2 linked regions of the Danio rerio genome follow. The protein of the gene in region 2 binds, or shares a complex with, the protein of the main gene of each other region. Links are inferred from orthologs where the notes say so. Each region holds a gene or a part of one and is shown on either strand. Other genes may lie near its edges.

Region 1 (15,816 bases), on a different chromosome or scaffold from region 2:
ATGAAAGAAAAAAAAAAACACTTTTAACTAGTGCTGTCACTCGATAAAAAAATATCTAATTAATCACACTTTTTTTTGAAAATTAATCACATTTAAAAGACTCAAAATTCGTAATTTTGGCTATTCAAATGTAAAATTAATGTAAACGCAAGACAAAAAATATTTAAATTCAAAATATTGTTGTTTAATAGAATTTTTGTTTAACTTGTAACACAGATTTCTTCATGTAAACAACAAACCCACAATAAACCATCAAGATCCTGGCTTGACAGCCATATTTATTACAGAAATAAAAATGTATGTTAATGCCATTTGAATTTTAAAACAAACAACGCCAATAAAGAAAACATTGATTTCCATGTTGGATTCTAAGTGGATTGCAAAAAAATGCCAAAATACAGGAATTACAGATATGGAAAATGGAAAATTATAATAACAAAAAAGTATAGAATACAAACAACTGCACTTATTGTAAAGTTGTATTGCTGTGAGTTGAGAACGTTAATTATAAATTAGAAACTATTTTGCTTAGTCCTCCTTTACATTCATCCAGTTGCTAAAAAAATCAACTCTGTTGACATTATCGGGGGACAATGTGGACCTTTGGTTTTGAATGATGTGAGCTGAGAGTGCAATGCAATCTCACGGCAATTCCTAACTTTTTGATTAAGTGGCTACCGACGTTTATGCAGATTTGTTGCTAAGAAACACGCGTGTGCGCGCGCACAGACACACACACTCACACTCACACACAACAGGACAGGGCAGCCGGAGTGACTCCTTTCAGATTCAACACACATGATCGCGTTCATCAAATTTGCTTAAACTTAGCGTTCTAAAGTATGGCAGTATTTCACAAGGATTCTGACACAACAACGCGAAGCAGACACTTGCGTGTAAGGGGGAAACACGTCAAACTTAATAAAACATTGGAGGGCTCATGCTGAAAGGCAGAGGAATGCACTGTCTGACAGCTCGCGACATCATCTGTCACTTTCTGAGTACATTTGCATAAGACACCAATACTTCGATTTTAATATGATTATGATAATACTCTAATTAAGAGTCGACCATGTAAACAGCGATTTTTGATTACCTTAAAGGACCACCGAGTCACTAAATGCGAAGGTCTTTCTTTCCGTTCATCATGCGGTATCAAATTCCATGAAAACAAAAATCGAAAGTTAAAAATGAAACACCAGAAATTGCATGAAACTCTGGAGGAAACTTTGGAGAGTCTGGTAATGTGACATTAATAGTTTTATACTGAAACTTGCCTTCAAAAGGGGTTTCTTTGGTCTCATCCATATTTCTTTGCACGTTAAACAAACGTCAACCACAGCAAGAAATGAAAAAACCTGCTACTGCGTTAATTGCGTTAATTTTTTAACGCGTTAAATATTTCAAATTAATCGCATGCGTTAACGCACTAATTTTGACAGCACTAAATTTAACCCTTTGTCTCAAATGATTACACTGGTGTGATCAGCACCGGCTGTTCCCTGAATCAAATGATCACATCGGTTTGCTTAGAATTCGCGCTAAAGCAGTGCTTCTGCAGACCAGTGCTGTTGTGTTGGCATTTCAGTTACTACAAACTCAGGAATCTCCCCATGATGCATTAATGGTAGAATTATCACATTATGTTAAAAAGAAATGTGTTCGTACCCAGCAGAAGACGTTAATATTAGGTTAGATTTAGACCCAAATTTAATATCTAGCCAGCGTCTAAGGACAATGTTATTTTGATGTTCAATAACGACTTCAAATTACGTTGATATTTTCATTGGGTTGATCACTGTCTGCGCTATCTGGGGGTGCTTATTCATCATAAATGTATTGTTTTCACTTTTGCGCCATGGAGACACGGCGATTCATTCAGCAACTGTTTGACCTGTGAAAATATTTCAGTAAAAAGAACGCTAGAACCATATGAGCACCAGCAAGAGCTTTCATTTGAGCTATAACTTGTACATGTGTCATATATGAACCATATGAAAAATATGAAAATAAACCAATGTAAAATACCAAGCTCGGGTATCCAAAAAACTGTATTTCAATAACTTTGTACAGTGGAGTAAAAACCAAAGTGATGCATCACCTGACTCGTGGTAGCAGCAGAAAAATAAACCAAGGCTCACACAGGTCGCATCCCACATCTTGTGCTTTGGAAAACCAGCTTGACTAGCCTAGCCTGGCTGGGAGCCCATCTAAAACCAGATATGTCCAGCTTAAACTAGAATGGTCAAGTTGGTTTTAGATGGTTTTAGCAGGTCACTTTCCAGCCTGTCCAGCTAAGACCAGGCTGGAAATGGCCGGAAACCAGCCTGGAAGTGGCCAAAACCCCTCTAAAACCGGGCTGGTCGACCAGCTAAGACCAGCCAACCATCCAGGTTTAAGCTGGACATAGCTTCTGTGTTTTCTGTTCAGTGTTTTTGTTGGTGTTTAATCGTGCAAAAGATCAAAATATTAAACAAAGACATTTGTACAGCTTAGCAAGGCTAATGTGTACTTAGCCAAAATAGAAAACAGTTCAACCCTGCTGAAAAATCCAGCTTAAACCAGCCTAGGCTGGTTGGCTGGTTTTAGCTGGTTGACCAGGCTGGTTTTAGAGGGGTTTTGGCCATTTCCAGGCTGGTTTCCAGCCATTTCCAGCCTGGTCTTAGCTGGTCAGGCTGGAAAATGACCAGATAAATCCAGCTAAAACCAGCTTGACCAGCCTGGTTTAAGCTGGACATAGCTGGTTTTGGCTGGTCATCTCCCAGCCTGACCAGCTAAGACCAGGCTGGAAATGGCTGGAAACCAGCCTGGAAATGGCCAAAACCCGTCTAAAACCAGCCTGGTCGACCAGCTAAAACCAGCCAACCAGCCTAGGCTGGTTTAAGCTGTTTTTTTCAGCAGGGAAATTTCAGTATTTCACAAAGCTGTAATGTATCTTTAAGAAAAGAAGACTTGAACCAATTTCCAGTGATATCGACAGCATTGTATATACTAATGTTGTGTATGAAGCAATACTGAAATCAATTTCACTGGAAGCTGTTTAGAAAAAAAATTGCTTAATTTAGGCCTACGTGAGGAACTTTTCGCTAAACTTCCGGTCGCGCGCACGTCGCAGATAAACGGTACGTGATTACATCTTGACATTTACACAAACCAATAAATATTCTGTTGAGTACACTATCATAACACACATCAGAAATCGCCCGGATTTATTAAAGTTACATGTATTTTAATAAATATTTCCCGCGTCCCCTCGAGTGTAACTGTAAGCTAATCAAATCCCTGACTTTCCTCCACACGCGCCTCCAAAGGTAATAAGATCCTCCGAGTTATGGCATTATGAATATATTTTAATCAAGTCAGAGACCACGTACGACACGGACACGATAAATAAAAACAAGTCGAAACACCGGTAGGGATCAGGGTTGTAATATATATTGTAATTCGCATTATAAATTCATAAACACACGGAGCTGAAGCCCAGCGGAGTCTCTGAATATGAGTGAACGCCGTCGGCTTGATATTTTCCGTCTGTCGTCTTTGCTTTGCTTCGTGAACCTGTAAATTGAGGGATTTGTGAGGCTGTAGATGAAGAGAATCAAGCTGTTTCTGCATAATAATAAAAGCAGAGCTGCTGTTATGATGTTATGTAACACTGGGGGAAGCTTTCAGAGCTGCTCAACTCACCGAATGCACATCATATGTGCTCAGAAGCTGATGATCTTCTCTCTTAATGCATTTTCTTATTTTTAACAGCTATTTATGTCAATAAAACGAAGATTATTAGACCTTGTTGACACTTCATATCGGTCTAAAATATCATGTATACAAATATAAAATGACAAAATATCATTATTATTTTCATGTAAGGCTAATAGAATAAAGATAATAATATAGTATTAATTATACAATAATGTTGTGTACAGTGCAGATTTAAATCATACACAATAAATAAAATTCTAAGTTAATAACAGGAAAATTAAACTGTTAATGTATATTATTATTATATAGTTAATAGTGTGAATTTAACAAAAAAAAGATTGGACCGTTTACACTAAATTGTTTTATATAAACCTAAAAAAATATATTTATATTATTTTCATGTTAATAGAACAAACAGAAAATATAATATTATTTAAACATTATTATTGTTGTGTACAATGCAGAGTTAAATAATAAACGAGAAGTACAATTCAAAGTTTATTACAGGACAATGACGTCAAAATTAAATGTAAAATGAATTATTGTATTGGAAACTTAATGTATAATTCTGTTAATATGACACAATTAACCATGTAAATAAAGCAAAATTAGTTTTTTTCAGATTTTCTTCATTTATTTATTCATGTATTTATTTTTTATTTAGTTTTACAGGTTTGGCCTTCCATACTGATTAGTTTTATTTTTTTTTTTTCAGATTTTATTCATTTATGTAATTATTATTAATTAATGTATTTTTTTACAGGTTTGGCCTTCCATACTGATTTGTTTGATTTTATTAATTGGTGTATTTATTATTAATTAATATATTAATTTTGTACAGGTTTGACCTTTCATATTGATTTTTTTCCCCCACTTTTTTTCATTTATTTATTTATTTATTTTCAAGGTTTGGCCATCCCTACTCATTTGTTGTTGTTTTTTAACATTTTCTTTATGTATTTATTAATGTATTTATTGTTTATTTGTTTATTTTTACAGTTTGCCCTTCCATGCTGATTTATTTTTTTATATTTTCTCCATTTATTTATTTGTTTTTAATTATGATTTATTTTTAAACAGTTGACCTTTCACACTGATTTTTTTCACATTTTCTTTATGTATTTATTAATGTTATTTATTTATTTTTACAGGTTGTCCTTCCATGCTGATTTATTTTTTCATATTTTCTCCATATATTTATTTGTTTTTAACTATGATTTATTTTTAAAGGGTTGACCTTTCACACTGATTTTCTTTTACATATTCTTTATATATTTTTTTATGTGTTTATTATTATTTAATTTGTGTATTTTTACAGGTTTGCCCTTCCATACTGATTTGTGTTTTTTTTTTTTCAGATTTTAAGTTATAATATATTATTTATTATGTATTTATTATTAATGTATTCATATATATATATATATATATATATATATATATATATATATATATATATATATATATGTATATATATATATATATATATATATATATATATATATATGTATATATGTATATATATATATATATATATATATATATATATATATATATATATATATATATATATGTGTGTGTGTGTGTGTGTATATATGTATATATATATATATATATATATATATGTGTGTGTGTGTGTGTGTGTGTGTGTGTGTGTGTGTGTGTGTGTGTATATATGTATGTATATATATATATATATATATATATATATATATATATATATATATATATATATATATATATATATATATATATATATATATATTAACAGGTTTGTCCTTCCATACTTATTAAATTTTTCACTTTTTTCATAAAATTATTTAATATTAATTTATTTATTTTCAAGGTTTGGCCTTCCCTACTGATTTTTTTCCACATTTCCTTCATGTATTTATTAAAGTATTTATCATTTATTTATTTATTTTTACAGGTTTGGCCTTCTGTACTGTTTTGTTGTTGTTGTTGTTTTACATTTTCTTCATGTATTTATTATGTTTGTATTTATGTATTTGTCATTTTGTCAGGTCTGGATGTTTTCCGACAGTTTTTTCCACACATCAAGCTCTTCATAACTCCAGAAAGTGTGTGTTTGATGAGATCGACTCTGAATGTCTGATATTAATACTTGATGTCTGTCTAGAATGATTTCACTAAAGCTGAATATTTAATAATGGTCTTGAAAATCCTCAGTTCTGAAGTGCCCTGCGGCCAAAATCACACACAACACACCGCTGAATTTCCCATCGGCCTCCAGTGTGCTGTAAATCTAAGGTAAACGCTGTGTTTTACTGTGTTTTTTGTCAAGCATAGAGCCTGTAAATCTGTTAAATGTGAAGGACTGCAGTTTGAGGGAATTTGGTTGTAGAGCGCCACCACATGGAGAAGTCTGTCACTGAAAATAAATGATCCATTGGATTTATTCAATGTTTTTAAGGTAAATGGTTGCAAACAATTCATATGGGCAGAATTGAAACAAACATTCTTCATTTGTTTGTTTAAATTTATCCCATATTAATTGTTTGTAAATCCAATAAATCATTTATTTTCAGTGGCATTTATTAATAACTAAACAAATAAGCTATTAGAAAAAAGTAAAAGAAAGATCAGGTTATATTCTTTCTGTATATAATCTTACAAGTTTAAGAGATTTAAAATGTAATGTATTTAGTTATGATATCTGACATTTTTATTATTTTATGAATTGTGAGCGTTATTATTATTTGGCAAAACAAGTTCATTTATTTGGCACATTTCATACACAATGGCATATGAATGTAGATTTTAATTACCATCAAAATAATCAGTATACAAAAAAAAAACAAAGGATATAAATATTAAATTACATATTAAATCAATTAATTATATTTAATTATACGATATGTGTATAAATATATATTGGAAACTTAATTTGTACAGTTGTATTATTATAAACGTAAAATGTATAATTTTACTGTTGTTATTATTGTACAATTAATCCTATAAGTAAAACAAATTATTCGAGATTTTATAAAAAAATATTTTATATAAATTAAAAGTTAAAAACACTTTATTATATTACAATTTCCTTTTACATTTTATTTTAATGCCATTTTCCTGTTATTAACCATTGATAACAAACAATGTAGGTAAGTTATGTTAATTAAATATTAAATTAAATATATAAAATTATATATATATATATATAAACAGATTAAAATATGTTAAGAAGTTTAAAATAAATAAAAAAGGCAAGAAATTATGTCAATTTAACCACTTCTCACATATTTTATGATATTTGACAGATTGTAATAATTAAATAAAAAAAATAGATTTTTTATTGCAATTGTGTGGTAATCTTATATATTCTATATTTCTTACATTTTACAAGTGCATGAATTTCATTTTCATGAGTTTTCCAGCTGTATAAAATACAAATAATAAACTAATTAAAAATCCAGGTAAAAAATTATAACGATATTAAAGTATGTTTTTCAAATAAATATATTATATCTTATGTATACAATTTATTAAAAAACATATATAGATGTCACAGAAACTAAGAATTTAAATGTTAATATTATCTTTAATATTTTTATAATGCAAAGTACACATGTATATGTTAACATTTCATTTACAATCAGTGTGTACTGTAATTATATTGATTATACAAAATTACATTAGCTTCATTGAAAAGTCCAGGCCTATAACATACAAATGAACGCTACAAAAATTCAATTTCCATGTATATATAAAAACCTCTTCTTATATCTCTGAGAAAGTTTTTATTCATAAGCTCTCCAGTTCTACAAATATAGACTTTTCCCTTACAAAATCAAAATATTTACAAGCTCATTATCATCACCATCTCTTACAAAACAATTCTTTAAAAACAAGTTTAGTATCATTACTCGACTTCAATTCCACCCAAAACAACACGACTTCAAATGAGATGTTTATCAGAATGTTCATGTTGCTCTTTTCTGTACAATTACAGAATGGAGGACGGATGGATGAAAAAACACCATAAAAAACATAACAACATCATTTAGTTCAGACATTATCAGTGTTGGGTAAAGTTACTATTAAAAGAAATATATCGCAAGCCTGTCTTAATCAATGCTAACATACTCTCCCATTACTTTAAGTGATTTAAGATCACAATATATTACATTTAAAAGTAACTTTACCCAACACCGAAAACTACTGCACCAACTCATGATCATAAACACTCATTTATAGCTAATAAAAGATGATTTATAGTTCATAACGATATTTTATAGTTCATATATGATGATTTATAGATCATAAATGACGTTTTAGCTAATAAAGTATGTTTTATAGCCCATAAATAACTTTTAAAGTATGTTTTATAGCCCATAAAGTATGTTTAAAGTATGTTTTATAGCTTGTAAATGTTTTGGAGCTTATAAAATATGGTTTTTAGCCCATAGATAATGTATTATAACCCATAAATAATGTTTTATAGGTAATAAATGATGATTTATAGCTCATAAAGTATGTTTAATAGGTAATAAATTACGATTTATAGCTAATAAATGATTATTTATAGCTCATAAATAATGTTTTATAGGCCACAAAGTATGTTTTATAGCCCATAAATAATGTATTATAGCTAATAAATGATGATTTAAAGCTCATAAATAATGTTTTATAGCTAATAAATTATGATTTATAGCTCATAAATGATGTTTTATAGCCCATAAAAAAATGTTTAAAGTATGTTTTATAGCTCATAAATGGTTTGGAGCTCATAAATGATCATTTTTAGCTCATAAAGTATGTTTTATAGTCCATAAATAATGTTCAAAGTATGTTTTTATAGCCCATAAATGAAGTATTATAGCTAATAAATGATGTTTCATAGCCCAAAAAGTATGTTTTATAGTCCATAAATAATGTTTAAAGTATATTTTATGACTCATAAATGGTTTGGAGCTCATAAATTATGTTTTTAGCTCATAAAGTATGTTTTATAGCCCATAAATAATGTATTATAGTGAATAAATGATGATTTATAGCCCATAAATGATGTTTTGTAGTTCATAAATATAGTATCCCACTGTTTTTGGGATGTTTTTTCAGTGAGATCCTCTTCATCTGAGTGTAAACAGAAGCTGAAGCCTCTCCTGTTGGCTTTGAGGACATGAGGGATGAAGCTAAGTCTCTTCTCTTGTTTTCTGAGGTGATGCAACTTTCCTCCAGGAAGTCTGTGTGTGTGCGTGTGCTTGTGTTCAGTCGTCCGGCTCGGTGACGCACTGCTCCACAATCTCCCGCAGGTTGGGGTTTTCCATCGCTGCCGCTACGCGCTCCTTATCATTGATCTGCTTATTGACTGACAGAAACACAATATTACAGGAGAGCACACACACACAGATACACACACACACACACACACACACGCAAGAACACACTCAGACAAAAGCATGAACACACATGCACTTACACAGATGCATGCACAGATGCACTTTCACACACACTTAGACACACACACATTAACAAAAGCACATTCACTCACACACACACACACACACACACACACACACACACACACACACACACACACACACACACACACACACACACACACACATGAATGCACACAATCTCAGACACATTCACACACATGCACGCACACTCTCTCACACACCCTCAATCAGACGCACATGCATGAACACTCTTGCACACACACATACTCAGACACACACATGGACTAACCCGCACACACAAACTCAGACACAGCACACATACACCAGCACACTCTCGCATGCACACACACATGTATATACGAATGCTCATGCACTCACACACATTCACAGATACTCATGCATGCACGCACATACTTACTTATACGTACGTACACACACATTCAATCAGACGCACGCACACATGCACAAACACTCTTGCACACACATACTCAGACACACGCACATACACAGACACTCATAGTCTCACACACACACATACACAAATTCAATCAGACACACATGAACACACTCTTGGGTTGCTGAAGATCTGCAGTGGTGTAAACATGATTTAAAGAGCAGGTCTGAACACTCACTGTCCTCCTCGATCGAGTGTGTTCCCTCTGTTATATAAATCTCCAGCTGGAAGACCAGAAAACACCATCAGAGGCCAGAGAAACAGCGCTGACACACTGACGCTTCATTACACACACACACACACACACTTGAGAAGCTTTACTGATGAACACACACACACACACACAGCAGAGTATCACAGCGTTTGCAGACGTACCTTGTGTTTGAAGGGCAGACAGCGCTGAAGCTTCACCTGTAAACACAGACCTGCAGGAAGAAGACAACACTGCAGTAAATAACCTTTATTTACAAGAGCGAGGAATAGTCTACCCAAAAATTACAATTACTTGTTTCAAACCTGAAATTCAAATGTTGTTAGTCACTTAAGCCTGGTTTATACTTCTGCGTTAAGTGACCGGCGTAACCCACGGTGCATACAATGTGCGTAGCTGTGCATTTAAGACTGATTTATACTTCTGCGTCAAGCGCACACGTATGCTACGGCGCAGCCTATGCGTTGACGCATAGCCCTACGCCGTGGCCGTCGCTGATGTGCACCTCTCAAAAATTATAACTACACATCGCAACGGTGCGTAGCGCAAGCTCTGTGATTGGTCAGCTTCAAATCGAAATCGTGACACCCCTACGGCTTAGTAGCGCTGACGAGTCAGGGCGGGGCTGAGAGTCGTGCCAGCGGTGTGAGCCCAATGGAGCGATTGTTTACAAGTGTGGAGTCCCGTAAAGGAGCTCCGGATGGAAAGTTTTGTTTAGTGTTTACCTCATAGTTAAAGTTGTTTCCGCCGGTTCCTGCCTCAAAATGAGCGAGTTTGAGCCACTTGTACATTCAGGAAGTGTTCAGTGTAAATGTTTCTCTGTGTCGAGTTTCTTCGCTGGTGTTTTGCTTTTCCTGAAAACTTCCTGAATGTACAAGTGGCTCAAACTCGCTCATTTTGAGGCAGGAACAGGCGGATGTGAAACAACTTTAACTATGAGGTAAACACAAAACAAGACTTTCCATCCGGAGCTCCTTCACGGGACTCCACACTTGTAAACAATCGCTCCATCGGGCTCCCACGCTGGCACGACTCTCGGCCCCGCCCTCACTCGTCAGCGATATCAAGCCGACCAATCAGAGCTTGCACTACGTGTCGTTGCGACATTTAGTTAAAATTTTGAGCCAAACAGTCAAAAAGTGGCACAACAGACAAGCTGATACATATGAATGTGAATGTAAGTATATGTATATAAACTAGTGCTTTCAAAATTAGTGCGTTAACGCATGCGATCAATTTGAAAATATTTAACGCGTTAAAAAAAATTACGCAATTAACGCAGTTGCAGGTTTTTTTATTTCCTGTTGTGGTCGACGTGTGTTCAACATGTTAAGAAATATGGATAAGACAAAGGAAGCACTTTTAGAAGGCAAGTTTCGGTATAAAATAGTTAATGTCGAATTACCAGACTCTCCAGAGTTTCCTTGAGAGTTTCATGCAATTTCGGGTTTGTCATTTTTAACTTTCGATTTACAGAAACAGCGCGCAGAAGTATAAATGCACAGCTACGCGCGTTGCATGCGCCGCGGGTTACGCCGGTCACTTGACGCAGAAGTATAAACCAGGCTTAACACTTCTGTGCGCTGTCTCTGTTGGTCTGCATTAACACTTCCGAAACGCTAGTTGGCAGTGTGGTGTAAATGTTTCTCTGTGTCGAGTTTCTTCGCTGGTGTTTTGCTTTTCCTGAAAACTTCCTGAATGTACAAGTGGCTCAAACTCGCTCATTTTAAGGCAGGAACAGGCGGATGTGAAACAACTTTAACTATGAGGTAAACACAAAACAAGACTTTCCATCCGGAGCTCCTTTACGGGACTCCACACTTGTAAACAATCGCTCCATCGGGCTCCCATGCTGGCACGACTCTCGGCCCCGCCCTCACTCGTCAGCGATATCAAGCCGACCAATCAGAGCTTGCACTACGTGTCGTTGCAACATGTGGTTACAATTTTTGAGAGGTGCAAGTCAGCGACGCCGATGGCCACGGTGAAGGGCTATGCGTCAATGCGTTGGCTGTGCTGTAGCATACGTGTGCACCTGACGCAGAAGTATAAATCAGCCTTTACACAGTACAATATGCAGTGAAATGCTTATATACCTGCCAGTGACCTTACTAAATAAATAGTATCAATAAGAATCTAAATTATTAAAAAGTAACTAAAGTAAAACTAACGTAGTTTAGATATAGAAATATATAAGTTATAATTCTAGCAAATCTGACCAAATATTAAATACTTTCGTTATTTTTATAAATAACTTTGAGTTTCTTCTGTCAAACTCAAAAGGAGATATTTAGAAAATTGCTGGAAACCTGTAACCATGACTTTCATAGTATTTCCATTGTACTGAACCGTTTATTCTGGCAAAACAACCATCCTGGATGTACCTCATCCTGCTTAATACTGCTAGCTAAAAAACATTCTTCTGAGCCGTAATAGTTTATTAATTCTTTCATTAAACGCAAAGCTGACAGAAATGAACCCGGCTAATTACAGCAAACACTAACCTACATATTATTTATTTACTAGATGGCGCCAAACAGTCAAAAAGTGGCGCAACAGACAAGCTGATACATATGAACGTGAATGTAAGTATATGTATATAAACTAGTGCTGTCAAAATTACTGCGTTAACGCATGCTATCAATTTGAAATATTTAACGTGTTTTAAAAAAATACACAATTAACGCAGTTGCAAGTTTTTTTTATTTGTGTGTTCAACATGTTAAGAAATATGGATAAGACAAAGGAAGCACTTTTAGAAGGCAAGTTTCGGTATAAAATAGTAATGTCGCATTACCAGACTCTCCAGAGTTTCCTTGAGAGTTTCATGCAATTTCGGGTTTGTCATTTTTAACTTTCGATTTCTTTTTTAATGGAATTTGATACTGCATGGCGAACGTAAAAAAAACTCTGCATTTCGTGGTCCTTTCATGGATCCCTGCTTACATAGTAGACTCGTAATAAGAGTATTACAATATGGCTGCCGTCACATTATACAGTTGGGTGCTCCCCAAATGGTCGATAGGGAGACCCCCCCCCCCCCCCCGCCGCCCTTATTCACACCTTAAAGTTTGCTTCGACTGTTCAGTATTTACGCTTTAAGTAGCAAAAGATTCAAAGTAAATCGGCACACTGCCACTTTAGCTCTCAAAAAAATTTTAATGTCAAAATTACAAAATCACAGTGATTTTGTAATTTTGACATTAAAATTTTTTTGAGAGCTAAAGTGGCAGTGTGCCGATTTACTTTGAATCTTTTGCTACTTATGTTTGTTTTTTGATCGTGCACCTGCCTTCAAGATTTTTCTAGATGTGCGCACATTTCTGTTTTTTGTCAGTATTTACGCTTTACCATTGCACACACTTTGTAACATTTTATTTATTAAGTTTGAGAGTCTCTTTAACACTTCTGTTTATTTTATTATAAAGAGATATTTAGTTAAAATATTTTTATTTTTGACTATTTAAACTATTTGCCTTAGTAATGTTGTAAAATTAAAAAAAAGGTTAAAAAAATCATAATTTTCCTAAATGTATTTTTTTTGCAATATCGCCCAGCCCTAACAAGAAGTGTTTCCTTTATTGTGTCTCCTGCTATCTGTGTGGTGCAGTGATGTCCGTTTGAGTGTGTGTGTGTGTTATCTCGTCACATACTCACCTATCAGCGTGGCCAGAGAGCAGTGTGGTACAGTTGGAGAGAACTTAATGACGATCAAATATTCATCGTCTCCGAGCTCCTGAACTTCCACACATTTCTCCGTCACCACGTCCAGCTCCTCCAGAGTGTTGGGTTTCTCCGGGTCACGAATCGTCCGAATCACATCTGTGTAAACAACAACATCAGCATATTAAGAGTTTCACCTTAAACAGAAAAATATCTGAGAGAAAATGACAAATAACAGAGTTTTGCTATCAAAACACACTGTATATTCTATTTAATAATACACTGGTCATTACCGTTTGATACTGATTTGATTACGGTAATGACTCAGTATTATAATAATTAACATTATTTACTGCTAGGTATGCTAATATCTTTCAGTTATGTTGCTTTTCAGTTTTTACCATGTTACATCATAGTTTGAGATTATTTCGTAAACTTTAAGGGAATACTGTGTTTAGTTCAATCATTTTCTTGTCGGCTTTATTAATCCGGGGTCCCCACAGTGGAATGAACCGCCAACTTATCCACAACCCATCTCTGGGAAACATCCACACACACACACAGTCTTTGGACTGTGGGGGAAACCGGAATGCAGGCAGAATATGCAAACTCTACACAGAAACACCGACTGAGTCGAGGCTCGAACCAACAACCCAGCGACCTTCTTGCTGTGAGGTGACAGCACTACCTACTGCGCCATTGGATCGCCACTGTGGTTAATAATTATGGTAATGATTCAGTATTACGGTATGTTATTACGGTAATGATTCAACACTAATACTATGAAAAATTAATAAAATATAAACAGTTTGACTTTTCCTTCAAGTTTAAGGGAATACTGTGGTAAATGATTATGGTAATGATTCATTATTATGGTATATATATATATATGATAATAGCATGGTATTACAAAGTAGCATCATCACTGCTAGTTATGCTAGCATCTTTAAGTTACCTTCCTTTTCAGTTTTTTACCATGTTCCATCATTATTTGGGACTATTTCTTTAATTTTAAGGGAATACTGTTGTTAATGATTCAGCATTACGGTATGTTATTACGGTAATGATTCAATACTAATACTATGGTATATTAATAATATATAAACAGTTGAACTTTATTTCTTAAAGTTTGAGAGAAATATTTTGGTAAATGATTACGGTAATGATTCTGTATTACGGTATGTTATTACAGTAATGATTCGGAATATGGCATGTTATTACGGTAATGTTTCAACACTAATACATTAATAAAATATAAACAGTTGAACTTCATTCCTTCAAGTTTAAGGGAAATATTTTGGTAAATGATTATGGTAATGATTCATTATTATGGTATATATGATAATAGCATGATATTACAAAGTAGCATCATCACTGCTGGTTATGCTAATACCTTTCAGTTACATACTTTTCAGTTTTTACCATGTTATATCATTATTTGGGACTATTTCTTTAATTTTAAGGGAATACTGTGGTAAATGATTATGGTAATGATTCAGCATTACGGTATGTTATTACGGTAATGATTCAATACTAATACTATGGTATATTAATAATATAAAAACAGTTGAACTTTATTTCTTAAAGTTTAAGAGAAATATTTTGGTAAATGATTACGGTAATGATTCTGTAATACGGTATGTTATTACAGTAATGATTCAATACTAATACTATGATACATTAATAAAATATAAACAGTTGAACTTCATTCCTTCAAGTTTAAGGGAAATATTTTGGTAAATGATTATGGTAATGATTCATTATTATGGTATATATGAAAATAGCATGGTATTACAAAGTAGCATCATCACTGCTGGTTATGCTAATACCTTTCAGTTACATACTTTTCAGTTTTTACCATGTTAAATGATAATTTGAGACCATTTTTTAAAGTTTGTGGGAAATACTGTGGTAAATGATTATGGTAATGATTCAGTATTATGGTATGTTATTACGGTAATGATTTAATACCACAATCACAACAACCACAATCAATTTAGCATAGTAAACCAAGTTTTTAATTGTAACTATGTACCATGGTGACAGAAAAATAGAGTACATAATTACGGTAATGACTCAACCACAAAAATACCATGGCATTAACACCGGACACCATTTATGTACCATGGTTATACCCCGTTTTCTGTTTATCAGTATGTTAATATGATCTTTGACGTATCAGATAAAATACATCCAGTATCACATTTCTTATTGACTTAACAAAGTAGTAATATGGCACTACTTAAAGTACCATGAAGATGATTATTCAGTACTATAGTAATATATAAAAATACTATAGTATTTCCGCCTGACAATGTCATCGTGCCATGAAAACACCACAGACTTTTCTCTTGATTGAGGTC
Region 2 (18,255 bases):
TCGGTTGAGTTTCTCTGCGGTCTCTCTTTCGCCCTTTAAATACAGCAGAGCGCGCACCCGTTCAGACTCTACACTGTTCTGGAAGCCTCCAGTGAATTCGACCAATCAAAACACAGCAGGCAGCCGCGTCACTTCTTCAGCTGTCATTGAGAGGAGCCGCTGAGAGGAATGTAGTGGAGATTTCCAGAGTTTTACCGTGAAATTACGCGAAACAGCGGTCAAAAATACAAAGAGATTTAAAAAGTTTTTTTTTATTTGAGTGTTTTATTGTACTTATTGCTGAAAAATGTGCGGTTGTGTGGTGTGTTGTTTTTCCAGTTGCAATGAATGAACAAACTAAAATGATAAAATGTTTGAACGATTCAGTAGAAAAAAATGCAATATAAAAAAAATCTTGCTGAAATGTTTTACACAGTAGCAAAATCGGGCCTGTGGTATTTTCAGCTACATAAAAGGCAAACCTGTTTTATATAAGCTAATAGCTTGGTCAGATTCGTTTAACGTTTCAACAAAACAAATGGATGTTTACTGTACTATATTGATTGGTTAAAACCAATACTTTATTCTGGGATTGCAGTCTTAACTATTTTTGTAGTGTTAAAAACAACTTGCTAACTTGAGAGGTCATGTTTACCCTCAGAGAAATAGGCACAAGTCTCTTTGTTTAATTTTGGAGATCATCCTCCTTGTTCAGTCGTGGCCTGTATTTAATTTTGATGTATATGATTGCCGTAAAAGTGTTAGAAAGTTTACCCTGGTGCCATGAAATCAATCTGCTGCATTTGACCCAGTTAGTGTGTCTTTAATCTAACTTAATGAGACCCCAGTGTGGTCAACAATCAATAGAAACAAAGTGTGTTGTTTTATAACTGTTAACTCCTATTATTTTTTATCTTCTGTAGCATATAGACAAAACATGCTCGTTCTAATAGTTTAATAAAATTAATTTGATTTTTGGAAATCACCAAGCGACACCCCTGAAGGATCCCAATATCCCTGATCCTCCCTTTGGGAATCACTGTGTTAGACAATGAGATTGAGAATAGTCTATTTCATTCATTGTCAATAAACACAAGGTTCCCAATGTGCAATTTTGTTCCACAAATAAGCCGTTTGAGCTACAGTGCTCAGCACAATTGAGGACACCCCATTTTGAAAATGAACATTTTTATCCATTTCACAGTGAATATTGGCAATGTTGGTGCATGTAAACACATCAGAACTATTAAACTGTTACATTTATTAAAATAATATTTTAGTCACCAAACTTATTTAGAAATTGAATCATAAAACAATTCAATTCAATCAAAATATTGCAAAGAAATGACAACCTACATATTTTCACTAAATTTGTCAATGTTTTTGCTTCTCTTGATTTTTCCTCTTTTTAAAAAAAATTGTATTTAATATTTTTCTGGAACAAATACATTTGGCTGTACTAGTTTTTGGACCATTATCGCAAGTTATTTTGTCAGATAAGCTCCAGATTTGGCTTCAGTGCAGTGCGAATATAATATTGTATAGCTTTCTATTAAAAATATGAAGTTAAAAGAGAGATTTGTGTGGGATGTACTTATATACGCTGAGCACTGTATAAACACAGTATATTTGCTTAAATTACCAAAACGGAAATGCATAAGAAATTGTTGCATCTGGGTTTGCATTTTTAAAAATGCAGCCCAATAAAAATAAAAGTAGATCATAAAAATAAAAACAAAGTTCATAAATGCTATAAGGGTATATTGATGACATCGAAGACAAACAAGTAGATGTGACTTCATATTTTGCTATCAAATTATACCAAGTAATGTTAAGAAGGCTCAGTCAGTTTTGTACACTATTGACACTAATGCAGTTTTACCTGAAACGTTTCTTATACTGAGAAAAAAACTCTATGAAATTCAAAGTATTTGTTTATTTTTTTTATTACTTATTTAGGTATAATGATGTGGACACCTTATGATGATGTCCTCACGGACATGCTAATGTAACATTTTGGTCCGCTTTATATTAAATGGCCTTAACTTCTAGATACTTGCATCAAAAAATAAATGCAATGCACTTACAGTGTTCATAATGTACTGCAGAACATTTCTGGTGCATAAGGGTAGAGTTAGGGATGGGTTTGGTGGTATGAGTAGATTTAAAGGTGGGTTAAGGTGGATGGGATGGTCAACAGTCTAATTACAAAAGATAATTACACATATAATTACATGCAGGTTTTAATCAATCATAGGTACAATGTAAAATTGTGAATTCAGTATACTTTCCTTCAACCTGCAATCACTACTTTAGTTTTTCCTGTCTATGAGTGTTAGAAAATTCACTCCTTTGAGTCCAATCAAATCTCACATAGAAGGTAAATCACATCGTAATGAACTACCTCAAGACATGGGCAATTTGTAAATGCAGCAAACTGCTTGTAAGTATTTAAAGTGTCCAAGAAGATGTCTTCTTTACACACATTGATCCAAAGACTGTTTGATGACGGATGTTTTCAGTATGATGACCGAAATGGCATTAAACACCCAGGAAGCACAAGAAGTCAACATGAAGTCAGATTGACGTTGAACCCCAATGTCATGGGGACGTTGCATTTTGTTTGAAAATGAACATCAGGTTGACATCAGAACATAATGTCAGGCCAACGCCATTGTCCAACGTCCATCATAAAACCAACCAAATATCAACGTATAATGATGTTACAGCTTGACGTTGTGAGGACGTTATCACTATGACGTCTATCAGACGTTGGATTTTGGTTGCAATACCAGACAAATAAATGTCAGTATTTGACATCAATATGATGTTGGATTTAGATGTTGGGTCGATGTTGAATTTTCGTCACTTTCTAACAACCTAAAACAGACCAAATGTTATTTGACGTCAGTATTGGAAATGAAAATAACATTAGCCGCAATTCCACTATCGGGCTAGTGCGAGCTATGGCTTTTATCGGGCCAGGCCAGGCAAATCGCCCGGGAGGTTGAGCAGTGAGGCCGAAATCATGTCGCGTTTCCACTGTCGGGCTAATAGCTCGCAGCGCGTCATGCAAACCCTGCCCCCAGAACATCCCCCGAATCGAACGTCACTCAATCCGTCCACTTCAGCGGGAATCAGGCAGATAATGCACACCACATCATCACGAAACTATTAAAATTAGGACAACCAAAACAAACAAATGCCACGTTACTGTACAGCACTACAATACGCACATACCTGTGTGTTCTCATTCATCATATTCATTTACTCACCAACCGACTGTTGGCATCGAAATCCAGTGGTCTTGCCACTAACGGAGGGACCCAGCGCAGGGAGCGCACACATCCATAATATAAAACCACATATATAAAATTCTCCATGAATGACTCGGTATAAAATGTATTTTATAACATCCTCAGTTAGACAGACGCTGTCCAACATTCATGTCAAATGCTCCAGAGAGAACTGAAACATGAACTTTTCCCTATAGGCTTTATAACACTTAACAGGTTATTCCCTTTATTTAAAGGTGTTGCTTATTATATTCTAAGTAAAGGAAAGTGTTCAGTGTTTCAGCACATAAGAGCAGCACATAATAAAATATAGCCTATTTCATTGCGCTCAGCAGCCATGCACTAATAAAGCTCTTCATGCATTTAAAATTTACTTTTTTAATTTTACCACGTGTAGTGACAGGGAGTGACACCAACAACAGAAGTTTGGATCCACGTGCAGGTTTATTAGAATTGTCAGGCAAGCAGTGGTCAATACCGGCAAACAGATGTATGAGGGCAATCCAAAGTTATAACAACAGGCAGTTGGTCAGAGGCAGGCAGCAAACAGCATTAAATAAATAAACAAGGCAAAGATCAAAACACGGGAAACCAAGACCAGGGGCCTGTTTCAGAAAGGAGGTTAAGTGAAAACTCAGAGTATTTTAACCCTGAAATGAGAGATACTCTAGGTTTTCCGTTTCAAAATGGCAGGTTTGTTAAACTCGAGAAAGCAGGGTAAGTCAAGCCTGTTTCTGAAAGAGAGGTAACTTTAACTCAGAGTCAGTTACTGTGGTAACTTACTCTGTGAATCTAACCTGGTCAGAAGCAGGTTTTATTCTCTAAACTCGGAGTTTCTGTCGGTCTCCTCCCCTTTTTTAAAGATGAAGTGGTATTTCTCGCCTAAGTCTTACGTTTCCACCCACCTATTTTAATGCTCATTTTGGACGTGCATAAAAACGATTGATAGAAATGTCATGATGCACATAACTTTTTAAAATATGCATAAAAAACGTGCATAACTGAATAGGATAAACTTTTATTCGATAGAAAATCTGCGCATAAACTACGATGGAAACACTTACTGAACAAATTACAGTATGTACATTAAAAAAAAGATCATGATCATATGATAATGAAAATGTGTGTAAATGGACAAACCAGCAGGCTGAGCACACTGCAACATGTCTTAAATATTGTGTTAGTCATTTTAAAATGCCTAAACTGTTTCAGTATTAGTGTATATTATTAATTGCCTCCGAACGTCTGGTGCGTGTCAAGAGTCTCCGCGTCTCATGGCTTCAGACGCCCCCACGTGTTCATTGTGTTTCAGCATTGTATTCTGACATCGAGGCGCAAGTACATTAATTAGGCTAAATAAAGAATTAATTGACGCAGCTTCTTCTACCACAGTAAATTCTGTTTTTACTGTTGATATTTGGTGCCAGTTTAATCAGAAAGTGACGATTTTTTTCTCTTTGACTCGTTGGATGGAATTTTATTCGCATCTTTTATGCAATATTCCAGTTTTGCACATAAATTTATGTAATATATTTGGATGGAAACATAGCTATTGCCTACATTTTAGTCACACACAGAAGAACTGTACTAGAATGGCTTATCCTTTTTTAAAAAATAATTAATTTAAATTCACCTTCGACATGCACTGTAACTAGATTAATGGGATTATTATTCTTTCTAAAAATTATTTTTAGTACTGCTTACCTTCTAAATGTTATATTAACCTCTATCACTTGATCAATAAAAAAGGCAGACACACAAGTGCATTGTTAAATCATTTAAAACTAATAAATGTATAAAAAAGTTTAGAAAAAAAATATGAACGTCACAAATTACATTACTTATTTTATTATACTTAAATATTTAAATACTTAAAAAGTGAAATTACGCATTAACTTGAGCAGCTGTTTTCCCACGCTAACTGTCTCCTCTTCACTGATGGTTGCTTCTTTTCAAATATATACGCTCATATTTGCTATAACTTTGCATGAGAACATCAAGTTCAGCTGGAGAAAGAAATGGTGATCTCTTTTATAAGATATTGCCATAGTCACTCGTAATGTTTGCGCTCCATTGATAATGCCTTTTTAAAGTCACGGTGTGCGCGCTTAACTCTGAGTTGGTCTACTCGAAGTTGATTGACCCAGCTCAGATCAGCTGTTCTGAAACCGAAAACTCTGAGTTTTTAATCTCTCGGTAAATCAACTCAGAGTTAAAGTTTAAACTCTGAGTTGTTTGAACCTCCTTACTGAAACAGGCCCCAGGATAACACGTTGTAATGTCACCTTACAGATAAACAAGACTCGGCAAACTGAAGGAGTGAATGTGTGGCGTAAATAGTGTGTGTTAATTAGTCTCTGAAAGTCCTCAGGTGTGAATAAAAATCAAGCTAAATGAGAAAGCAGGTGTGTGGGCGAAGAGCATGTATAAAGTTGTAGTCCAGGAAAAGTGTAGTTCTAAGTGTGTGTGTTTACCAGCGACATCTGGTGGTTGTTCGCTGGTGAACATGACACCACGGGCCTGTTTCAGAAAGGAGGTTAAGTGAAAACTCAGAGTATTTTAACCCTGAAATGAGAGAAACTCTGGGTTTTTCGTTTCAAAATGGCAGGTTTGTTAAACTCGAGAAATCAGGGTAAGTCAAGCCTGTTTCTGAAAAAAAGGTAACTTTAACTCAGAGTCAGTTACTGTGGTAACTTACTCTGTGAATCTAACCTGGTCAGAAGCAGGTTTTATTCTCTAAACTCAGAGTTTCTGTCGGTCTCCTCCCCTTTTTTTAAAGATGAAGCGGTATTTCTCGCCTTAGCCTTACGTTTCCACCCACCTATTTTTATGCTTATTTTGGATACGTGCATAAAAACTATTGATAGAAACGTCATGATGCACATAACTTTTTAAAATATGCATAAAAAACGCGCATAACTGAGTAGGATACACTTTTATTCGATAGAAAATTTGTGCATAAACTACGATGGAAACACTTTTACTGAACAAATTACAGCATGTACATTAAAAAAAGATCATGATCATAAGATAATGAAAATGTGTGTAAATGAACAAACCGGCAGGCTGAGCACACTGTAACACGTCTTAAATATTGTTTTAGTCATTCTAAAATGCCTTAACTGTTTCAGTATTAGTGTATATTATTAATTACCTCCGAACGTCTGGAGCGTGTCAAGAGTCTCCGCGTCTCATGGCTTCAGACGCCCCCACGTGTTCATTGTGTTTCAGCATTGTCTTCTGACATCGAGGCGCAAGTACATTAATTAGGCTAAATAAAGAATTAATTGACGCAGCTTCTTCTACCACAGTAAATTCTGCTTTTACTGTTGATATTTGGTGCCAGTTTAATCAGGAAGTGACGATTTTTTCTTTCTCTTTGACTCGTTGGATGGAATTTTATTCGCATCTTTTATGCAATATTCCAGTTTTGCACATAAATTTATGTAATATATTTGGATGGAAACACAGCTATTGCCTACATTTTAGTCACACACAGAAGAACTGTACTAGAATGGCTTATGCTTTTTTAATAAATAATTAAATTGAATTCACCTTCGATATGCACTGTAACTAGATTAATGGGATTATTATTCTTTCTAAAAATTATTTTTAGCACTGCTTACCTTCTAAATGTTATATTAACCTCTATCACTTGATCAATAAAAAAGGCAGACACACAAGTGCATTGTTAAATCATTTAAAACTAATAAATGTATAAAAAAGTTTAGAAAAAAAATATGAACGTCACAAATTACATTACTTATTTTATTATACTTAAATATTTAAATACTTAAAAAGTGAAATTAGGCATTAACTTGAGCAGCTGTTTTCCCACGCTAACTGTCTCTTCTTCACTGATGGTTGCTTCTTTTCAAATATATACGCTCATATTTGCTATAACTTTGCATGAGAACATCAAGTTCAGCTGGAGAAAGAAATGGTGATCTCTTTTATAAGATGTTGCCATAGTCACTCGTAATGTCTGCGCTCCATTGATAATGCCTTTTTAAAGTCACGGTGTGCGCGCTTAACTCTGAGTTGGTCTACTCAAAGTTGATTGACCCAACTCAGATCAGCTGTTCTGAAACCGAAAACTCAGAGTTTTTAATCTCTCGGTAAATCAACTCAGAGTTCAAGTTTAAACTCTGAGTTGTTTGAACCTCCTTACTGAAACAGGCCCCACGTCATATAAAAACATACACACTTGTTTGAGGACACAGAACACATTTTGAACTTGCAGTTTTTCCCAATGCGTCTGTAAAGTGCTGCGCAGCTGCAGACAGAAAAAAGGTCGCCTATTTCTGCTTTCACTCACCCTGAAAATGCTCTGTTTGCATGATTTGATTAATATCATCATATCCAAATACTTTATAAATAATATTTAAAACATTCTCCGCTGTTTATTGTTTTTAGAAAATATTTAAAATCTTTTTTTTTTCAGAGAGGCTTTTAAAAAATGAAAGTTTAATAAGGCTTTAAAACAGTTTGATATAGTACCTAATTGTTATAGCTAGCTTTTGTTAGTTTTATATTGGTTTATTTATTTAATGTGATTTTATTATATCTGATATTTGTAATTCTTTAAATTATTTCAATATGGCTTAGGCTATTTTATCTAGATATGACACTATTGTTTTGAGCCTACAAAAGTGGACACGAAATTTGTAAAGTTTAATGTCTTTCTGTTGTATTCATATAGTGTATTAACTCCAAAATAAATAAAAACAACAAAAAGAAAAGAAAAAAGCCGTACGGCATCAACAGAGTTGTGAAGGAAGAGCTCTTTTCCTTGGTCTCACACACATACAGGCATCTAAACTCGCACAAACACACCTTTTAAACTTGACAAAAACTCTCGAAAACCTTCACTGTCTGCTGTGTCTTTAATATGGTGTAAAGATTATTACGCGTTATTGAAACATCAAGGAGGACGCAGCAAAGAAAAGTCACTTATATAAATTAAAACTACTTTATTATTTTATGCAACAGCCTTACATTTAAAAGAGAAACATAAGGGCGATCATACGCAAAAAGACCCCAGCCTATTTGTTCCAGATGTTTTCTTTCCCTTGTTTATTTATTTATTTGTTTATGTGTTTGGCACATGTACTTGTGTGCGATCAGAAAATTGTGCCCGCCTCTCCTTTCACTCCGCCCCAAAGCCCCAGATGGCCCTCTTTGGCCCAAGGTATTTGGGGGGCCGAAAAAGGCCGGCCGCTGGCCCCAAGAAAGCCCTGATTTGGCTTGATTAGCCCCCGGAAGTGACAGTGGAAACGCGACTGGCCGTGGCTCGCTCGCTTTAGGCGCGATAGTGAAAACGCGGCTATTATCCTTAGACGCTGGCTAGATATTGAATTTTGATCACCTGACATCACAACCTAAAACTAACCTAATATTAACGTCTTATGACGTTGTGTGCTTGCTGGGCAATAACTCAATGCACTACAGAATTTTACGTTTACACACATTCACAAACTACAACGCATCAGTTTTTACCAGCGTAATACTCACTACTCTTGAGTACTTTTGAAAGGGCTACTTTTTACTCATACTTTGAGTAATATTCACAACATATAATTTTACTCTACTTGCACTTCATTTTTAGGCAAGTAATGGTACTTGAGTAGGATTTTTCAGTATCTTTCCACCACTGATGGAAACACAACTAGCTGACTTCTGTAGTAGTTTTTGTTCCAGCTATGGATGTCAACGGCTGCTTTTTTTCTTCAGAATGTCTTGTTTTGTGTTCAAAGGTTTGGCATTACTTCAGGGTGAGCAAATAAATATTTAGCTTTGTGTGAACTATCCCTTGAATGAAACGCTACAGTCCTGATGGTGGCGCTACTGCCGCGCATTTCTATCAACCGCAAGACACTGAAGCACAAAACAGGAAGCGGGAAGCAGCTGATAAACAGAAGACTTGAAGTTGTGTGACATCCGAGAGAGAACAGTGCTGCCGACAGGGAAACATTTACATGTCACATAGTAATAATTAATAACACACAGTTATATGAAATGAAGGGCGCGCTGGAGCTACAGCACAGGGTGAGCGCGCACCCGGACTCGCGCTGTTGGTACGTCGCGTGGAATCCCGCGGGCACGACGCTCGCGACCTGCGGCGGAGACCGTGCGATAAGAATATGGGGCAAAGAAGGTAAAACATAGCAAAATACATGTGTACAGCACACGTTTAAATCTATTTATTTAACCCTTCTGTTGTATTAGAATTATGTATACACGGTTCGCCCTTCACTAAACCCAAAACTGGTTTTATATTTAGACATTCGGACTTTCTCCTTAACTTAATAATATAAAGCTAATGATTATCAAAGTAAATCATTGTTTACAGTTAGATAAATAGTGTTAATGTTGTTTTTAAGCCATACTTGCATGTGATTTCAGACCGAATATACAAAGTACCATGATAAACATTATAGGAAGCATGTCACAAGTTGTCACTTAATGAATGGACGAATATAAAACCCAACTCTAACGTTATCTTAATTAAAATAAATCAGCTACATTTTATTTCAATCCTCAGATCTATTTTGCACAAAGAAACCATCTCATCTTCATCACAAACTCTGAATGTCTAGGTTTCCCTCAGGTTTCATTGTGGAGTATTTCACCAATGTTTAACTTAATCAGAGGCCATAGGTTTTGACTGAAGTACAGGCTTTATTTTCTAATGCTATTGTGTGTGAGTATTGTTTTTGTAGTGTAAAAATGGTTTTATAGTTGGTGTCAAAATTGAGCACAAGGACAACCGTTGTACCCTAATGTGTGAGCAATTCCAGCATTTTGGATGTGACAATTATTAGTTAAGCATAATTGCGCAGAGAAAGTATATGTAAACATATTAAAACATATTTATATTTTCTAAAACAACTACAGAGTTATGGGGTCAGAAAAATATTTGCCGGTATAAGATACTGGCGGTATGATAACCTTGGTTTCACGGTATTGTAATTACTGCTCTAAAAGTTATTTTTAAATGCCTGGGTAAAAAAACAACAAAATTTTCCTCCTTTGAATACAATATATTTTATTTTTTGAAAGATTTATAATATTTTGGAGCAGTAAACATGTCAGGCTAAATAATTGAAATTAATTATTGACTTCTGCTGTCTTCATTTGTTTCAAAAACACAGATTTCTTTACAATTTATACGGCATCTTTGGATATCTTTTCTGCTGGAGATGCTGTTGTCCTAAAAAACAAACAAAAAAGTAAATAAAAAATCGTGCACATACCTTAGGAACGGTATCTGCCGATCTGATGCAGTTAGGGAGTTCATTCCACCAACTGGGCAGATTGAATGCGAGAGTTCGGGAAAGTGATTTCTTCCCTCTTTGGGACGGAACCACAAGGCGACGTTCATTCATTGAACGCAAGTTTCTGGAGGGCACATAGATCTGCAGAAGTGAGAGCAGATGAGAAGGAGCAAAGCCAGAAGTCGCTTTGTAAGCAAACATCAGCTTTGAATTTGATGCGAGCAGCAACTGGCAGCCAGTGCAAACGGATGAGTAGCGGAGTGACGTGTTCTTTCAGGTTCATTAAAGACCACTCGTGCTGCTGCGTTCTGAAGCAGCTGAAGAGGTTTGATAGAGTTAGCTGGAAGCCATATATAAAATATATATAAAACAATTTTTTTAAATACTTTTATTGTTTCAGAAAAATGTGATACATAATGTATTAGTAACCAAATACCAATCAAAGAACACCCAACCCCATCCCGACAGAGACATAATATATATATATATATATATATATATATATATATATATATATATATATATATGTTACACATACAGTACATGCAAAAAATATTAATTAATAAATGAATAAAAGTAAAATAAACTAAAATAAGATAAAATAATAATAATAAAAAGGGCAATTTTGAAAAAAAAAGACATTAAGACAATGACAGTTCAACACACATACATTCCAATGAAAGTGAAAAAGATATTAAAGTTAGTCATAACAAACACAGTGCACATTAACACAGTCACATTGTTTGTGATTACTAAACGTTCAGGCCATTCTTACTTAAAAAATAAAGAAAGAAGTCCCAAATCTTGTAAAATATGTGCATTTTTTGTTTGACTGAGTAAGTCAGTCTTTGCATTGCTATACAAGAAGACATTTCCTCAATCCAGAGTGACAAAGATGGACCATGAATACTTCTCCAGTGAATGGCAGTCAGGCATTTCGTATGCAATAGACACAGATTTTAAAACTTCTGTTCATATGACTTCAGCGATAAGGCAGGTGGGAAAAGACCAAGAACACAGATTTAGGGCAAACAGGGATTTCTTTAACAATAGTTTTAGAGATTACATCTATTAGGTATTTCCAAAAGGATTGCAAGTGCTCGCATTGCCAAACACAATGGAATAGTGTACTCTTGTAAGTCAAACATAAAACACAAAACAATTTTGATAATATTAATTTTTATTATATTTAAAATTTGTAAAAGCTTATTGAGAGGGAAAACTTATAGATTTAAAGGAAAAGTAAATATTTCAAATGCAATTAGATAATTATTTTGGGGTCTCACTGTGTTTTTAATGTATTTGCTGTTCTGTTTTTGACAATTTTTTTACATTTTGCTCCATCATGATAACAAAATATTAATACAATTTTAAATAATATAAAATATGAACCCTTTACAGGGCACTCATTGAAATACTCATTGGAAAATCCTTGGTGTTACTGGTGGTAATTACAAGACTTTTGAAGTTTTAGGACTTTTATATAGTCTCTTTAAAACATTAATAGCATCCAGAAAAATAGAAAAAAAGCATTATTGCATTTTCAGCCTCTCGTTTGTTTTCATTCTCAGGGGACAGTTGGGAATGTAAGTGTGTCCTTTCTGATGGACACCAGCGCACAGTCAGAAAAGTAGCCTGGTCTCCCTGTGGGAAATACCTGGCTTCAGCCAGCTTTGATGCCACGACATGCATCTGGAAGAAGACGGATGAGGATTTTGAGGTGTGTGCTTGTATAAGCCTGATTTTTTTTCATTCTTTCAATTTTCTTTTTTTATTGCAGTATAACACAAGTGCAATAAGGAAAAAAATCTAATAAACATATCCACCAGAATGTACAATAATAGCACAAATTATTAAAAATAAATAAATAAATATAAATAAAAACAAAAACATTACAGCAAAAATAAACAAAAAAATCCAACAAAACTGAAAAAAAAAACTTTCATCAGTGTAAATTTTTTCAATAAACTGCAGTCTCCTTCCTGAATTAGATTTTATTTATCGTAAAGATCTACAGTATTACCAAAATTCCCTTTGGAAAACCAAAAACAATGGTTTTGTTGTAAGGCACTTGCATTGGATATAAAAATTTCTCCCAAATAAAATATTTTAAAAAAATAATGTAATATGTCATCGACCTCTAATAAATCAAAAATATCAAATATATATTATAAAAATAATAATATAACAAAAATATGAAATAGACATATTTAGAAAATTGGGAAGGCGGCTCCAGGGGTCTCATGTATCAAGGCTGCGTACACACAAAAACTTTGCGTACGGCAGGTTTTACGCTCGCGTTTGGATTTATTAACGATGAAATTAACGTGAGAATGTGCGTCGGTCCACGCCTACTTCATGCCTGGCGGACGCACATTTCTTGTGCGTGTCTGTTTTAATTCCATGGGAGACTCCTAGAGGCAGTAGTGTTAAATTGCACACCACGTCTTTGAGCCGTGTAATGGCAGCTGTATGAGAAGGGTTCATCCGCATGTCTAGCAGGTTTATAAGGTTTCCATACCATGCAGTTAACCAGCCAAACATTAAAGCGCAATTTGCAGCGGTCGCCTGTTTGCCCAATGTAATCGGAGCGATATACTGCACGCACATTGCTATAATGGTGCCATCTGAAGACGAATTTGTATACGTGAATCCGAAACATTTCCATTCAATAAATGTGCAAATAATATATGATGCACAAACTTATTAATGATTCTTACTTGTCTTCCTCGTGATGAAGAGTAGCCAAAATCAGATATGTAGCGGGGGAAAAAAAGAAGAACGTCTTCATCAGATGTGGGATTTGAACCAAGTTCATGCTTAAACGTGTCAAAACATGTTGCCATGCGTTTTACGAGCTACGCCACTCACGCAGTTAAAGAATCTACAACATTTTACACCTTTACATCATTCAGACCCAACTGTGTTAACCGCATCAGCTAAACTCTCCCACTCTAATTTTTTTCTTTTGTTATTAATTCCGGAGGACAAACTTGCAAATAACACCGTTTTTCCCCGGTCTAGCTCTGAAAGCAGCACCTCCAATTCGCATTCTGTTCAAAGTTTCTCTTCTTGCTTGCTTTTGCCATTACTTTTTTATTGGGTTTTGCCAAAGTATAGTAATAAGCATATTCATACGGGGGAGGAGGCAGGGAGGGGTTTTGCGCTCGTGCACATGCGCTCAGTTTCACGTTCATTCTGATGTACAAGGAGAATATGGGTGTGATTCGGTGTATGCAGTAAAAATTTCAGATGTATGAAACGCTGCGTCCAGTCGGTTTTAGACCATGCACCACAGCGCAAAGCGGATTTTTCCGCCCTTAAAATAGCAAAAGTGGATTCTGACACGCCCAGAATTAGGGGTGTCAAAATTAATTGTTTCTTCGGTGCACCGCGATGCAGATGCAGACAATTCGGTATCGGTTCAGTAATAATCATAACCGGTTATTATGTACTGACGTCATTTATCTCCTATGCGCTCTGTCGCGAGGGAGGTGAGCGCGAGTTTTTACAAACCTCAGCGCGGTTCAGTTGGTTTTGTTTTCGATATTCCTGACACACATTCAAGTATAGACGGCAATAACTCAAAAACCGCTTACCCTAAAAAGATCTAAAGTGTGTTTCCTACAAAAAGACAAAGCTGGTTATGTTTCACAGCTGTTTTTCTTTTTTTCGCTCAACATTACGAGCACTGCTCCGCTTAAGCCCTCGCAATATGTGTTTAGCCGGGAGAGCTCGTGCTGAGTAAGGGACCGTCGGAAAAGTGCTTCTTTTTTTTGTTTTTCTGCTCCGCTCAGCGTGAGCCCTCCCTGTTGTGAAGGCTTAAGTGTGTGTGTGTGTGTGTATGTGTGTGTGTGTTTGTTTCTTTGGTGCTGTCTATGTTTGTGTATGTGTTTGAATGACAGACAGTGTGGTGCTGTGTGTCTGTGTGTTTATACAGACAGCTTGTTATAGCCTCCCCCCTAAAATATAACACTGTATATGGAAAGCATCGTCAATGCACCGTGATGCACCGAGATATCGAATTGAACCGAATCGAAGGCATGATAATCGTAACCGAACCGTGAGACCAGTATAGGTTCACACCTCTACCCTGAATGCTTTTGCGCCCTGCGCTTTGCACTTTGCGCATGGATCATCAAAATAGAGCCCTAAAAGGCTAATTTTAGACTCTTAAAAAATCCAGAAAGTTGATCTGACATGTTTGTTATGTGTGTTTCCAGTGCCTGACGGTGTTAGAAGGTCATGAGAATGAGGTGAAATGTGTAGCTTGGGCTCCATCTGGAAGCTTACTGGCCACCTGCAGCAGAGACAAAAGCGTTTGGATTTGGGAAGGTACCTCAGAAATATGGAGAATACAGTGTCTTTCTGTAACACAAATACAAACCTTTATTAATTTTAAGTCTCACTGTGCTGATAAATGGTTCATAATGCGACTAGAAACAGTTCTTATTAAAGCTCCAGTGAAATTAAAGATTTTTTTATACATGGTAGTTTTAGTATGTTAGTTTTAAGGATATCTATAAGCTAGTGTGCTCCAAAACAGTGACAATATTTGTTTATGATGAATAAACACTGGTTTTGCCTATAATGTTTCATCTTAAAAGATTTTACCAGGATGATTTATCTGTGTTAAATGCTTCATTTTCCTTGTAGTGGATGAGGAGGACGAATACGAGTGTTTAAGTGTTGTGAATTCACACACGCAGGACGTAAAACATGTCGTCTGGCACCCGACGCAGGAGGTATAATATTCACACTCTTGATCAACATTATTCAATTCACCTTTATTTGTACAGCGCTTTTAATATGTAGATTTGGTCAAAGCAGCCTCACATAGAAGATTATAGTGAATTGAAACCGTGTAGTTTTAGTTTTCAATGTTAAAGTTCAGTTTAGCTCAGTTCAGTGTGGTTTAATTATCACTACTGAGAATCCAAACAGTGAAAAGCAAATCCATCAGTGCGCAGCTCTACAGATACCATGCAAGCTAGTGGCGACAGCAGCGAGGAAAAAAATTCACCAATTGTCAACACTGACCTGTGTTTTTTCTGATACTTTTGCAGCTTCTCGCATCAGCCAGTTACGACAACAAGATCTGTATTTATAAAGAGGAAGATGATGACTGGGAATGCAGAGCCACGCTAGAAGGACATGAATCCACTGTCTGGAGTTTGACCTTTGACCCTGAGGGACGGAGATTGGCTTCTTGTAGCGACGATCGAACCGTAAAGATCTGGAAAGAGTCGACAACTGGAGATGGTGAGGAGTTTTAGATACAGTTTTGCATAGTTAATCTTAAAGTCTCCGTGAAATCAAATCTAACCGTATTGATTTTGTTAGCTCACTTTGCTAGTTTTGTATAAATTCATTTGTGCATGTCATTAAAAAAAAAAAGTTTGCCCTTCTAATCTAAATTTAAAATCTGAAAATTCCCTTCCTGTTTGTTTTCGGTTAAATTCTTAGATTAGGCCTGTCTGAGGTTTTGGGTGTGGCTAACATACTTAACCACGCCCCTCCAGCTGTCAGTTTTGACAACAAACTGAATTGGTGAGGAGGATGAGTCTGTTGTAATAACTGTCTCCAAACCCTTTCCCCATCTTTCTTGTAATGTAATGTGTATTTATATAGCGCATTTATTGTGTATGGCCTACATCCAAAGCGCTTCACAATCATGAGGCGGGGGGGGGTCTCTCCACACCACCACCAGTGTGCAGCATTCACTTGGATGATGCGACGGCAGCCACAGGACAACAGCGCCAGTGCGCTCACTACACACCAGCTATTGGAGAAGCGGAGAGACAGTGATACAGCCAATTCAGTGGAAAGGGAAGATTGGGAGGCCATGATTGTAAGGGCAGATAGAGGGACTTTGGCCCGGACACCAGGGTTACACCCCTACTCTTTACGAGACGTGCCATGGGATTTTTAATGACCAAAGAGAGTCAGGGCCTCGGTTTAACGTCTCATCCGAAAGACGGCTCTCTGAATGAAATGCCGACTTCACTACATCCAATCAGCTCTCAGAAGAAAAACAAGCCACGCCCACTGATTTCTTATTTAATATTTCGTTTAGCCGCCTTTCCACTGCACACGACATTTGGACACGACTGTCAGAATACGCCCCCTTGTGGCAGTCGCACAGTATTTTCAGTGTTGTCATGCACCATTGGGAGAGGAGCTGTTCTGGCAGTGTCCGAAATAAAGGAGCGTGAAAGCAAGAACCTTTATTCTCTGTGCATTTACATGGTTTAATGAAGGAATGAATACTAGAAACTCAAAGACCGCTACAAATATTGGAGGGAATGTGGAGACAACATTAAAAAATTTATTTTTATTACTTTCTTACTTGCGTTTATGAACAGTTTTTTTTTTAATAGACTTTTTATGATTCAAAAAATAACCAAATAAAGTCCTGTTTCTCTTCTCGCGCGCTCTGACCAGCTTGTACAACACTGGAATACATCACATCCGGTCAGCCGGTCGCATCCGGTCAAGTCGACAATATAAATCTAAGAATTCTGCTTTTATGTTTCTGTTAGGTTCTTCGGATGAGTCCTGGAAGTGTATATGCACCTTGTCTGGATTCCATGGGAGAACAATATATGATATTGCATGGTAAGATGTGCAGTATATATAGGAGCAGAAATGGCTACAGGGTTTCTGTGGTTATCGAATTTGTATATACTGAATAATTAGCCGTCCTATATATATATTTTTTTTTCTAAATTTGTGTTTAATGGAAGGAATTAGTAAAAAAAAAAAAAAAAAAAATATATATATATATATATATATATATATATATATATATATATATATATATATATATATATATATATACACACACCGTAAATACACCTAAATTGTCAAAACAAACTTTTTATTTTGGATGTGATTAATTTTTCCCGAGCACTAATTGTTTTACTTTGTGGTTCTCCCGATTTCAGGTGTCGTCTGACCGGTGCTTTAGCCACCGCATGTGGTGATGATGGAGTGCGTGTGTTCAGTGAAGACCCCACTGCTGACCCAGAGCAGCCCATCTTCGCCCTGTCAGCCCACGTGCCCAAAGCCCACAATCAGGACGTCAACTGCGTGTCCTGGAACCCGAAAGAAGCAGGACTTCTGGCCACATGCAGCGACAATGGAGAGTTCGCCATCTGGAAATACAACTCTGCCTGAGCCGGTGAATGACGCTCAAGTAGACCGAAAGCACTGAATCAGTGGTAGTTCACCCAAAAATGTGAGGTCTGTAATTTACTCACCCTTTACTTGGTCTTTATTCTCTTTCGTCTGTTGAACACAAAAGCAGATATTTTGATGAAAGCTTACAAAAACTGTAGCCCTTGACAACCATAATAGGAAAAACATATACTATGGAAGTCAATGGTTACAGGTTTTCAGCATTCTTCAAAATATCTTCTTTTGTGTTTAACGGAAGAAAGAATCTCAAACAGGTTTGGAATAAGTAAATGATGGCAGAATGCTAATTTTTGGGTGAACTTCCCCTGTAAACTGGTCATAATGTGGAACAATAGCTGTTTTATTCTCACTTTGAGTACTGCAATTGTGCGTTGATGACAGCACTGGTCAAAAAGACAATACACTTTTTATTAAAATCGAATTTATCTGTTAGACTTTTTGATGGGTCACAATTTCTTAACCATATTGATATACTTCAGTTTTGTCTGTAGCTTAAAATGCCT

The links.
Region 1: ciao1 (region 2) and ciao2a share a complex: the UniProt entries of both Homo sapiens proteins name them as parts of the CIA complex. The link is inferred for Danio rerio from reciprocal best matches to the Homo sapiens genes CIAO1 and CIAO2A.

What each region holds. Positions count from the first base shown.
Region 1 is NC_133200.1:1,561,496-1,577,311, reverse strand, and holds the end of ciao2a (cytosolic iron-sulfur assembly component 2A), read right to left. Parts: intron 13,613-15,816; coding exon 13,448-13,612; intron 10,005-13,447; coding exon 9,955-10,004; intron 9,804-9,954; coding exon 9,758-9,803; intron 9,032-9,757; coding exon 8,931-9,031; 3' UTR 7,242-8,930; downstream 1-7,241. UniProt on the Homo sapiens protein: Component of the cytosolic iron-sulfur protein assembly (CIA) complex, a multiprotein complex that mediates the incorporation of iron-sulfur cluster into extramitochondrial Fe/S proteins.
Region 2 is NC_133183.1:6,291,613-6,309,867, reverse strand, and holds the start of ciao1 (probable cytosolic iron-sulfur protein assembly protein ciao1), read left to right. Parts: upstream 1-9,184; 5' UTR 9,185-9,293; coding exon 9,294-9,432; intron 9,433-12,123; coding exon 12,124-12,272; intron 12,273-14,775; coding exon 14,776-14,887; intron 14,888-15,208; coding exon 15,209-15,297; intron 15,298-15,618; coding exon 15,619-15,814; intron 15,815-17,094; coding exon 17,095-17,170; intron 17,171-17,499; coding exon 17,500-17,731; 3' UTR 17,732-18,255. UniProt on the Homo sapiens protein: Key component of the cytosolic iron-sulfur protein assembly (CIA) complex, a multiprotein complex that mediates the incorporation of iron-sulfur cluster into extramitochondrial Fe/S proteins.